3 linked regions of the Arabidopsis thaliana genome follow. The protein of the gene in region 3 interacts with the protein of the main gene of each other region in a pairwise test. Each region holds a gene or a part of one and is shown on either strand. Other genes may lie near its edges.

Region 1 (4,065 bases), on a different chromosome or scaffold from region 3:
AAAGAGCACCGTTACTGACACTGCTCGACGACTCCAAACTTAGTGCCTTGGTGGTTCACAACTTTTGTAAGTCATGGTGTGTGTTATTAATTATTATTATTTTTTAATTAAAGGTCCGAATGGCGACTGCGTTTTGCGGTACGGAAGAAGTGCGGTGCGGTTCAAATAGTAACAAAAATATATAAATACATATGTATATGTAGAGATTTTGACACTGTTGCGGTGCGGTTTTGGGTACGGTGTATGTCACCATTCATAGCCTAAGAGATGGCTTATATGAATAACAAATTTGGAGTCGTCGGGCAATGTCAGTGTCGATGAAAGGGTAAAAAGTGTTGGGTCCATTTTCAGAAAGAGAATGACCACTTTCCAACCCTATTTGTTTGCATCCTCTCCTCGGAATCTGTAAATTGATGCTCTTTCTTTCACACACTTCACATTTTACTTCAACCGTGCCATTTAACTATATGATTTCTACAGTTTATTGTACCGCTAATCGTAATTAATGATCTATTTTTAAGATCATGTCTTCTATTTTTGTTCATCTTATAGACTTAATTATGACATAAGCATAATTTGTTTCATGGAAAAGTCTTTTTGGGTGGGTTTTTAAAATTTTTATTTCTTAGAGTTTTCTGGATATTAGTTGTACGATATAAAAGCACATGGTTCAGACTTTTTTTAATGTCTAATCATATGGCCCATATGATTGATTAATTATCATATAATATGATGAATATTTCCCCCATTAATTCTCTTACATCACATTACCCAAAAAAACTACTAGCTTAGTTGGTGCATATAGACTAAATATAGATTCTTGAAACATGAATTGGTTCATCTGACCACTTAAAGAAAACGAAAATTTTAATACAAACAAGAACAGATCGACCACATTCAATTGTATTGTTGCTGGTCAAGCCATGGCCAGAACCCAGACTGGTCATCAATTCCACAGAACATGTTACTGATACTGTTCTCTTCTTTCACCATTCTCTGTTCTGACGATGAATTCTGAAAAAACTGCATCGTTGTAGTTGTCGGTGGATGGCCTAGGGCGAATTGGCTATCGATCTCCGGTGGCCTGATGTCACCAGAAATGTTCTCACTTCTGTCACTACATGATCCTTCTGTTTCTTTGTTCAGATTGATTGATTCTATTGGTTCTCTGCTTTTCAATGCCATTACCTGCATAATTTACACAAACTATTTAAGAAAGAACGTAAAATTGCAAAATGATTCCAAATTATGTTTTGACCTAAAACAAATATATTCCAAATTATGAATTCGAAACTGAAAGAATAACATCAATAAAAAACAAAAAAGAGCATTGTTTTTATAAAATTCAACTAAAAAAGATTCATATTTTATGAAATATATGATTTAAAAAACAGAGTATTTAAGATTAAAAAAGAAACAGAGTACTTTTGTGTTATGAAGTTTCTGCTTTTACCTGAGCTTGAAGCTTTTGATTTTGAGTTTGAAGAACTTCGTTCTCATCTCTGAGACTTTCGAATTGACGCTTAAGCATGTCATAGTCTTTCTCAAGCTGCTTGGTTTTGGATCGAGCTCTTCTGTTTTGGAACCATATAGCAATTTGTCTAGGTTGCAATCCCAAGGCACGAGCTAGCTCTAATTTTCGATCTGATTCAAGTTTATTACCAAGCTCAAAGTCCTTCTCTAGTGCCTTCAATTGTTCCATGTTCAATCTCCTCTTCTTCTCTCCCATCTTAGATCCATCGTCTGAATATTCTTCATCTCCGTTCATATCTAGATTACAAAACCCTTGCACGTTGTTCATTGGAGATCTTTTACCTAGAAACCCTAAAAACAGAGAAGATCTTGAGAAGTAGAAAAAAAAAGGATTAGAAATTTTGAACAAAGGTGTTAATTGAGATGATGTACCATGGAAGTCTTGAAGAAGTTGAGGGTGATCTTCTTCTTCTTGGTGATGGTTTTGGAGACTGAAATTTTCAGGGAAGAAAGCTAAGCCATTATTATTACAAGACATGTCTCTTGTTGGTTGTTTTCTTCTTCTCCTCTCCACCACCTTGTCTTGGTTCAAAGTACAGAAAGAAAACTAAATAAAGAAGAAGAAGGATGGTGGTGAAATGAATTAGAAGACTGAGTATACACCACTTATAGGCTAAATACTAGCTAGATTAGAAAATTTGGTTTTATTTTGTTTATTATATGAGTATATAAAATAGGAGACAAGACTCAAAGCCGATGAGACAGAGAGGTAGACATGGGATGATTATAGTCTTTGGAGGGGTGGAATATGGGCTTTTGTATGTTTTGGAAAATCCCTAATTTTACTACGTTGTATCCGTTTTGGTAGATTACGGATATGTACTATGTAGTTTTTCATATCAAGTATTTTTAAAGATAATTCTTGTTTTTTACGAATAGAAAGACAGATATATCATAGTCATACTAATTATATATGTATATTTTTCTATTATAGAATTTTTGAAACGAAATTCATAATAATCTCCGGACATTGTGAAAGATAGCATATTCTTGCAATTTAAGATGTTTACAGTGGTCAACCATGATTGATATTACAGTGAATTGATTAGATTATGGTCACTCAATTTAATAGTAATTTTTTCAACCACTAGATTATCATAATTAATTTATTGTGAATATATTTAATTCAGATGTGTATAATTAAATATGTACCGTAATGAACAATTTGAGTATTTGTAACAAATACTTCAAATTTTGGGAGTTTATAGATCTAGATACTCTTACCACTTTCTCTTCAAAAAAAGAGTTGAATTTAAATATGATATGTAAAAAAAACTGATATTCTTAATGAAATATTTCAAAGTTGATATCTAATTAAAATTTCTTTTAACAGCATGCCCTACATAAGCATTTGGATGGTTGCATGCATAAGTGTTCAAGTCAATGGAATTTTATTTCTAACGAGAACTAAAACTAGTGATTTTGGTCGTCAAGAAGTATATGCAAGCAAACTCTTAGAGGCCCTACATGGTATCACTTGTCTATGTCTCAATGATATGAAATGAAAGCAAACTCTAAGGTCCTACATGGTAACTCTCACTAGTCTATGATATGATTAGACTTCTTCTTTTTAAAACCTTTTACAACATAACATGACTTTTTCTCTATGGTAGGTAAACATACTTTCGGGGGACACAAAAAGCTCTTCATCACCGCAGATTGTGTTTTGACACAAAGCCCATTTTATATGCGAGGCCGGTTTCTTCCTTCTTCTTCTTCTCTTTCTCAGGTCCCCCACTTATCAACTTTCTTAGACGTTTTGGTCGGTTTTATGATAAAATACTTTAATATAGGCCCAACTACTGTATAAATTGGTCTCCCTATCAAATCATTTTGTAATCAACAAGTCTATATTCTACAAGTTTAAATATTTTTGTTGAAACTATTTTATAAATTACCACGAGTTGTTCTTTTTTGTGTGTTTTAACCTCAATTGTATTTATCTAAAAGCATAAACTATTTATTCTATGAATTTTTTATGTTGCATGAGATATGAAAAGTGCAATTCAACGACATACAAACAAACGCATATAAATAAATATGCTCAATTTTTCATTTAGTATCAAAAGGTGTACACAAAATATATATTTTTTCATTTTTTTGCTTAATAAAAAATCACATTGCAAGCCTATTCCTTCTTAATGTATTATGCAATCTTAAATTGTAGTATACACATATGGCTAAGGCCAATTGTTGAAATGGAAAAACAACTTGTATATTTTCTTGAGTATTAGTTTTTTTGGGGGGACAAACTTGAGTATTGTTTAATGTTGGTATATATGTTTGCGAGAACAAGCCAAATCACACACTACAATAACAGAAAAAGAGGAGCTTTGCGGGACGAGTACGGGGATTGGCGAGGAAGTTTTGCCCTGAATTTAGGGCGGTGCACGGCTCCGTTAGCAGAGCTTTGGGGTGTGTACTACGGGTTGGTTATAGCTTGGGAGAAGGGTATAACGCGGCTGGAGCTTGAGGTAGATTCAAAATTGGTGGCTGGTTTTCTCACGACAGGGATAGAAGACTCTCATCTGT
Region 2 (3,596 bases), on a different chromosome or scaffold from region 3:
TTCAGAAGAAGCGAGCAGAGAAGCCTGAAGTTCGTGATGCCGCTAGAGAAGCTGCCCTACGGTTTGTTTCTTTCCCGAAGACAGTCACTATATACATCAATTTTTTTTTGAAACTGAAATGTGATTGATTCAAAGCTAATCTGATGATTATGCAGTGAGATCAAGGAGAGAATCAAGAAGACCAAGGACGAGAAGAAGGCAAAGAAGGTCGAGTATGCATCAAAGCAACAGAAGTCACAAGTGAAGGGAAATATCCCCAAGAGTGCTGCACCCAAGGCTGCTAAGATGGGTGGTGGTGGAGGCAGACGTTGAATGGAGCTATAGAGTAGCCCACTCTTCTCTCTTCACTTATCTTTCTTTCTTGTTTTGACATTGTTTTGTTTTGTCAGCCATTTTTTAGTTTTGCACCAGATCTAATATATTCAGTTTATGAAAACTTTTTGTTTGGTATCAATCCCCTTGTGTTTTACTCGTAGATCCAAAAACTGCTAAATAGAATTTTCAACTTGGCTTATTCTAGGACATTATTAGTGGTCTGAGCTAAATTGAGCTTTGGTTAAGCATTGATTATGGATCTAGAGTTCTTGAATCACGATGTTTCTTCATTAACTTCAACTTAGTAAAGAACCCTTTACACGAAAATCACTTAAACAATACTTAATACAAAGGAAAACAGAATCAGCCATAGAAATTGTTGCTTGTTTGGGACTAAAGCTACAAATTTGAGCCATTTTGGAGATATAACTGAAGTGGAACTTATATACTATTGCCTCAGCTGCAGGCTTTTTCCCAGGTTTGTTTCTTCTTGCATGAACTATCCTCTCTTATCATTGATTTCAGTTGTATTAGCTGTTGAAACAAAGTGAAAGTAACTCAATGGATTGTAACTCGAAAGCTTATTTATTAAGTTAGTATTGATCACTGGAGTAATTACCTCTTCTTGTAGCAATTCCTTTTCTCTAGAGACAATATCAAACTCTTGTCTTAGTGATTCATAGAGATGCTCAAGTTGTTTGTTCTTCCACCTGGCTTTCCTGTTCTGGAACCAAACCGCAATCTGTCTCGGCTGCAGCCCCAGTTCTTTGGACAGCTTCATCTTCCTGTCCGGATTCAGCTTCATCTTCCTGTCCGGATTCAGCTTTATCTCTTCTTGGAAACTTCTCTCGAGGAACTTTAGCTGCTCGCTCGTCATCTTCTTTTTTTTCTTCTCCTGTCCATTAAAACTGTTGCTTTCTTCTCCATAGCCACTCTCTACCATTGCTAGAGGAACATGAAGTATATCTTGTTGTGCACCCATCATTGTACCTAAACATCTGTTGTCTTGGTTTCCTACAAATTCAATACAAGACAGAGAGAGACTTGTAAAGCGACATACAGTTGAGTGAATGATTAAGCATTAAGCATATAAACTAGCTCTACTAAAACCTAGTACTATGGATGCATGTTACCTGAAAAATGGTCAAAGTTATAGAAAGGAGAGATGAAGCTGGAAGAAGACGCGCCATCGATGAAGGAGCTGCTCCAATATTCCATCTTCTCTTCTTCTTTTTTTTTACCTCTTTTGTCTATCTCTGCTTACAACAATCACTTTCAAGAGACTATTTTTTACCTAAACAAGGAAATGAGCAACTTTGGGTGTTTGATATGGGTGTATCTTTATCACTATATGCATATGTTAGAACATGCAGGAACATTATATATAGATAAGTAAATGTGGTTGAAAACGCTAGGGCTTCTGTTTTTAACTTCGGGTAACTAATTGGTCACTATCAAGTAAGATAAATATATGTGTAAATGAATGGTTTCATTAGTCTGACCGGTAACAAATAGTACTCCGAACGATGAGGGTAAGAATAGGCGGTGTTGAGCAAATGCATTATACGATACAAAACGAGCTAAAAAAAGTTAATGGTGATTATTTAGTTTGAAATTTTTGTTAAAAATTGATTATTATTCTCATATTCTCACATGACCTTGTATGTTTCCATAAGTAAGATATTTACATAAGTAATAACGTAGGTATTTCGTATTATACGTGACCAATTAATGTGGATTTTAGTATATATAAAAGAATAAAATAAAATGAAAGTAATGTGAGTTGAGAAAGGAACAGTAAGAGTAAGAGATAGAGGTGAAAAAGAAAAGAGAGAATGGTCCAGATTCTACATTTGTACAAATGTCTATCACTTTCTCTACCTTAATTAACCAACCAATCTGACATATATGAATTCAAACTTCTACTCTCAATCTGTAATATAGCCTCCAGTTTTCATCTCTTTGTATGTATATGTATTTGTAAAGTCCCCACAATCTTTATTTAACACTGTGGAGCTGCAGGGTGCTACTCCAACAGATAGATCAGAAGGGTCCAATTCTGATCCTGACAAAATTTGGGAGCACACAGTGCACTAGTGAAAATAGTATCATCATATCGATCTACGTGTTTTTTTGGTATGATCCGGCGATAAAGTATAGTTAGAAATTGAATGATGCAACTTATCTTGAAGAAATGGTAAATGCTTATATGGTTAGATAAAGATGAAGTTTCTAGCACTAGTTATGTTTCTCTAAATCAAATTCTACGGTTTAAACGTTAATTGTGACTGACATAAGTATATTTTGTTCCATTTCCAAAGCACGTAACAACTACATCAGCCAATTTTTGATGTGATTTCAAGATGGGGATATTTTTTCTGTATCAAGTCATTGGATTGAATAAAAATAAAAGATTTTCAAAGAAAAAAATCTTAACCGGTGATCCTAATTTTTTTAAACTGACTTTTTTTTAATAATTTATTTCTCCCTTGTGTATTAGTTTATACATCTTTACCAGAAACAAAACTGTATCTAAATCATTATTAATTTTTCATAAGCATTTGGAAATATTGTTAATTATATATATTTTTTATATAACATGTGGTATCGAAAACACGTATAAGTTGGGAAACGGAAAAAGAGCCACTAGTCCCATATGATTTTGCTTAAAATAAAACAATGTAAACCAAATAAATTTGTAATAGATTATAATCATAAAAATTGGTTTAACTTTTCGTGTTCACATATGTTAATGAAAGCGAACAAAAATCCTACAAACGCTAGAAGATAAGAGTAATTAGTTAAAGGCTCTTTTGAATCCCGATCGAAGATATATTTGATCATCAATGTTGGAAGGGATCAATAATGAGAATGTAACTACAATAAAAGTTACATATAAACAGAATAATTAACCATCAGGAGCATGATGGATAATCAAAGATGCCAAAGAGATCTACTTATTATCTGCTAGTTCTAAGCTAAATCAAGAAGCATCTCTGTTAGAAGCTGAAGGTATAAAGCCTGTTAAAATCTATTGAATTCAACACTTTGGGATCGAGATACGTAACTATTATTGTCACAATCCAATGAATAGAGAGAGTGTAGAAGTGATAAATTGAGTGAGTAAATACTAAATAGTACTACGAAGAAAGCTATATTATGATAATCTAAAAACGAGGACCATATAGTATAAAGTTACAGAGAAATAAAGCTCAAGAGAGCAGCGTGTTGTGTCATTTACTGAATGTTTTCGTATAAAGAAGAAGCTCACTAGAATTGTT
Region 3 (3,935 bases):
ATACTTATTTGTAGTTTGCACTTTAAGAATATCGAACACTTGAGCATATATACCAAAAACGGATAGTGGGAATGTAAGGATGATAAAGAAATGGATTAATGAGGAAATTAAAATGAATTATCCGATGAATCTTTTGTTAATTAGACACCAAGATAACTAATCATTGCAAAATATATTATTAGAATAATTAATATATAAAACAAAACCTGTCTCTTTTCTCAAAGAATAAAGAGAGATTTATGAAAAGGACACCTAGATCTTAGTTTGATCGCATATTAAATTAAGCGACAAAGTACTCTTCAAGATAAGAAACCATCAAATAATATTAAATAATTAACTAAATTGCAATAGTTTATTTATGTTTGGGACTCACATTTTAGGGTTCGTTTGATTACCTAAATTGACCTATAGTGTTGTGACTAATTCGGGTGATTAGTTCATATAATCTTTCCATTAGTGGAAAAGTATTATGAAACCTTTGGGAACGTTACAATTTAAAAAGACAAAATGCTTTTAAGATAAGAAGCCAAAAAACATATTATTAAAAAAAACATTAAAGTTATAAAATTTTCCTCATTAGGGTTCATTAAATTAACCAAAATTGACTTATTATAACATAATCCAATTTGTTGATATAAACTTACTTTAAATGGAAAAATAAGACAACGTCGTGGTAATGAAATTATAATAAAATTGGAAAATTAAAAAAGAGCTAAAAGAGTTTAATTAATATTAATAAAACGTATTAACGATAATAATACCAGTGCTTACTCTCTATGATCTAAAGCTAAAAACAAAGCTTAAGCTTCCATTATTATAACTCTTTCCCTGCAAAACGACATGATGTTTTCTTCTTCACGACGAAGACGACGAGGCGTTTACGTTTCCGCCACCATCAGCTCCTCCACTATCACTCTCAAATCTCCCACCACCACCGTCACCGTCGTTAGCTAAACCGCGAACTCCATCATCGTTACTGTTCTCGCCGCCGATACCGTTATCGTTTCTCTGCACGGTGGTTGCTCCTCCGCCGGAGAATTTGAAGGAGTTTTTGTTATTATGCATCCAAACTTTGAGAACACCTTTATCAACTCCGATCTCACGGCAAAAATCACGAACTTCGTCTTCGTCACGTTTCTGAATCTTCCAACCGATTCGATCGGCGAATTCATGCATCTTCTCTTTCTGATTTGAGCTAAACTTCGTCCTGAATCGCTTCCTCGAGCCAGGCGTGGCGGAGAGATGGTTAGCCGCGGCGGCGAAGTTTAGATCTGAGAACGGTGCGGTTTTATTATTACCGGAGAGAGCTAAAAGCATGTAGGAGGAAGAGATAGGCGGCGGAGAAGATGAATTAGGACTACGTGGTAACGGAGGAGCTAGCGGAGGAGGAGGATGATGACGGTGATGAGGCTGATACTCAATTGCGGCGGTTGTTGTTGAAGATGGAAGAAGAGACGGTGGTGGAACGGCGGAGGAATCGTCAGTTTCACGGCGGTGGAAGTTACGGTGACAACCACAAGCTGCACACTTGAGAGAAGTTGGATCGGAAGGTGTTGACGAAGGAGACGGCATAAATTCGCCGCAACCGTCAAGCGCGTGACCACCAATCGCCGCCGCGTGGTTCTTGAGACATTCTTTGTAAGTGACTTTGTTGTTGTTGTGGTGGTGGTGGTGGTGGCGTTTGATGATTCCGTTACTGAAAGAGATTGGTTTAGCTGGTTGGATCCGGGTCGGAGTTTCGGATTCGGGTTCTGGTGATTTTGGAGTCATATCCATTGATCTAACTTCAAGCATCTTTATGTTTTTATTTTCTTGAAAAAAATCAAGAAAATATTAGGGTTTATGTTAAGCTTACAAAAAAAGAAAAGTTTGATATTGAGAAATGAAGAAGAAGATGGATAAAAAGAGATTAAATCAACTTTTGAAGATCATGTTTTTTGTAATAAGTTTAAGAAAATAAACTTTAGAGGAAGAAGATGTGTTATAAGATGATGATAGTGAATCTGCTCTGGTTGATGAATGTTGCTAAGAGAGAATAAAATAATTTAATAGGGAGAGATATAAAAATGTTAATAAATGTGAATAATAAATATATTTAAAATAAAAGGACAGAGCTTGAAGATGTTTAACAGAGAAAGGTAGGGTTTGATGATTTAACTATGGTTAAATGTATGGTTAAAAGTGGGACCTGTAATAGGGAGTGGGGAAATATATATAGAGTAATAAATGTCTTAAACCTAAAGACAGTCCAATTATAATTAATATTCTCATGCATTGTGACACTTCTTGTTTTTTTTTGAAGTTGGCTTCTTTTTACTTTATTCTAATATTTGTTCCTTCTGTTAAAATATGTTTAGCATTTTGTATATTTGACTATTACAATGTAATTACCGAACAACTTTGTAAAAGTTTACTTATACTATTAGGTATTATTGTAAACTAAATAGTTGTTTTTCACAAAATAATATTAAAAAAAATACTTATTCTGTTTTGTTGTTTAAAGATTTTTTCCAAAATAAGTATTGTTCTAAATTTTCAATGTAAAATCTATAAAGTATGAATCAGTTTGGTTTTTAAAATATAATATATATTAATAATTTATATAAAAATATTTAAAACGATATTATTATGAATGGAGGAAATATATGTTACCAGCAGGTAACTATATTGAAAAATGAATAATCTCAAATAAATTCAGTGGTTATCATTTGAAGTCATTCAGCCACCTTTAAAATAAATTCAGCCATCATCAGTTAAGGGGTTGATTGGTTCTCCTTCTACTACATGCAAACGCATCATTTACATGTGGTAACAATTGTTAGTGATTGACAATAATCATATAAATCGCGGGATACTGCTCGGATCGCTCGATATCAATACATTTCAAAAACTCCTTCCCGCAAACGTTTGTAGTTGTGGATGGTAGCGGTTGAATTAAAATATTAAAATAATAATAAATAATCAACATATTTGTAATTAAGATAAATATATATAATTCTGTATATATCTTTTCATATTTGTATCTAATCCTATATATTATATTTATTTTGGATCTTTTTTATTTATTTAATTATTATTGCATCTAGTCATAAGATTTCTGCAAATGCATCTATTTTGAAACGTTAAATTAGTCGTTTAAAACGCTTGAAACCACAATATCTCGCTTCCGCAAATTTCCGCAACCGCAAGCGAAACCACAGCCCCGTCCGCTGCAATTAAACCAGTCATGTCTTTAGTCATATGCAGTTAAATTCTTCGGTTACCATAAATAGATCCTATATCAAATTCGGTCTTTTGGGTTTAAAACTAAGACCTAATGTCTAAAAACTACCGTCATTCAAGGTCATAGACTAAAATCTAAATTAGTATCGGAACTTACTAAATATATGTAATTTATATTTATTATTTAAAATATTCAAATTTTGATGATTCTCTGTCATGTGCGGTGGTGTGTACAAACAATCAAGCAAACGCCATGGGCCAAGGCCAATGTGTTCGTACCAAGCGACCATCGCCGAGAAAAACGAAGTCGGTGGCCAAAGTTTCTTCTGGGCGATCACATCAAGAGCATCACAACTTGCTCCTTCTTTCGAACAAGCAAAATACGGCTAAAACCAAAAAAAATAAAGAAAAACATTTCAGAACAAAGCCAATGATGACTAAACCATAGTGATGAGAATAATCACTATACAAATGAATTGGCAAATAAGAAGGTCGTATTGTACGCATGTTTTTGGATTCTGAAATCACAAATTATTTTCCAACGAATGATTGCATCATTGGACCGAGAAATTCAACCTATCGATCGGTAACCAAACACGAAAAATATGATCCTTCGATTTTTTTTTTTAATTATCTCTCAATCGGTTCGTACACCACCATCAAACATCAGTTAAGTGGTACGTGAAATATTAAACCACATATTACGTCCGATA

The links.
Region 1: the proteins of HB34 (region 3) and AtHB23 interact in a two-hybrid assay, tested with the Arabidopsis thaliana proteins (one study listed by BioGRID).
Region 2: the proteins of HB34 (region 3) and HB22 interact in a two-hybrid assay, tested with the Arabidopsis thaliana proteins (one study listed by BioGRID).

What each region holds. Positions count from the first base shown.
Region 1 is NC_003070.9:9,354,072-9,358,136, reverse strand, and holds AtHB23 (homeobox protein 23), read right to left. Parts: upstream 2,311-4,065; 5' UTR 2,012-2,310; coding exon 1,906-2,011; intron 1,825-1,905; coding exon 1,454-1,824; intron 1,189-1,453; coding exon 898-1,188; 3' UTR 635-897; downstream 1-634. UniProt on the Arabidopsis thaliana protein: Probable transcription factor.
Region 2 is NC_003071.7:15,347,264-15,350,859, reverse strand, and holds HB22 (homeobox protein 22), read right to left. Parts: upstream 1,650-3,596; 5' UTR 1,534-1,649; coding exon 1,449-1,533; intron 1,330-1,448; coding exon 935-1,329; intron 850-934; coding exon 772-849; 3' UTR 570-771; downstream 1-569. Other genes in the region: RPL24A (ribosomal protein L24), read left to right, coding at 1-61, 156-312. UniProt on the Arabidopsis thaliana protein: Probable transcription factor.
Region 3 is NC_003074.8:10,939,743-10,943,677, forward strand, and holds HB34 (homeobox protein 34), read right to left. Parts: upstream 2,092-3,935; 5' UTR 1,795-2,091; coding exon 856-1,794; 3' UTR 563-855; downstream 1-562. UniProt on the Arabidopsis thaliana protein: Putative transcription factor.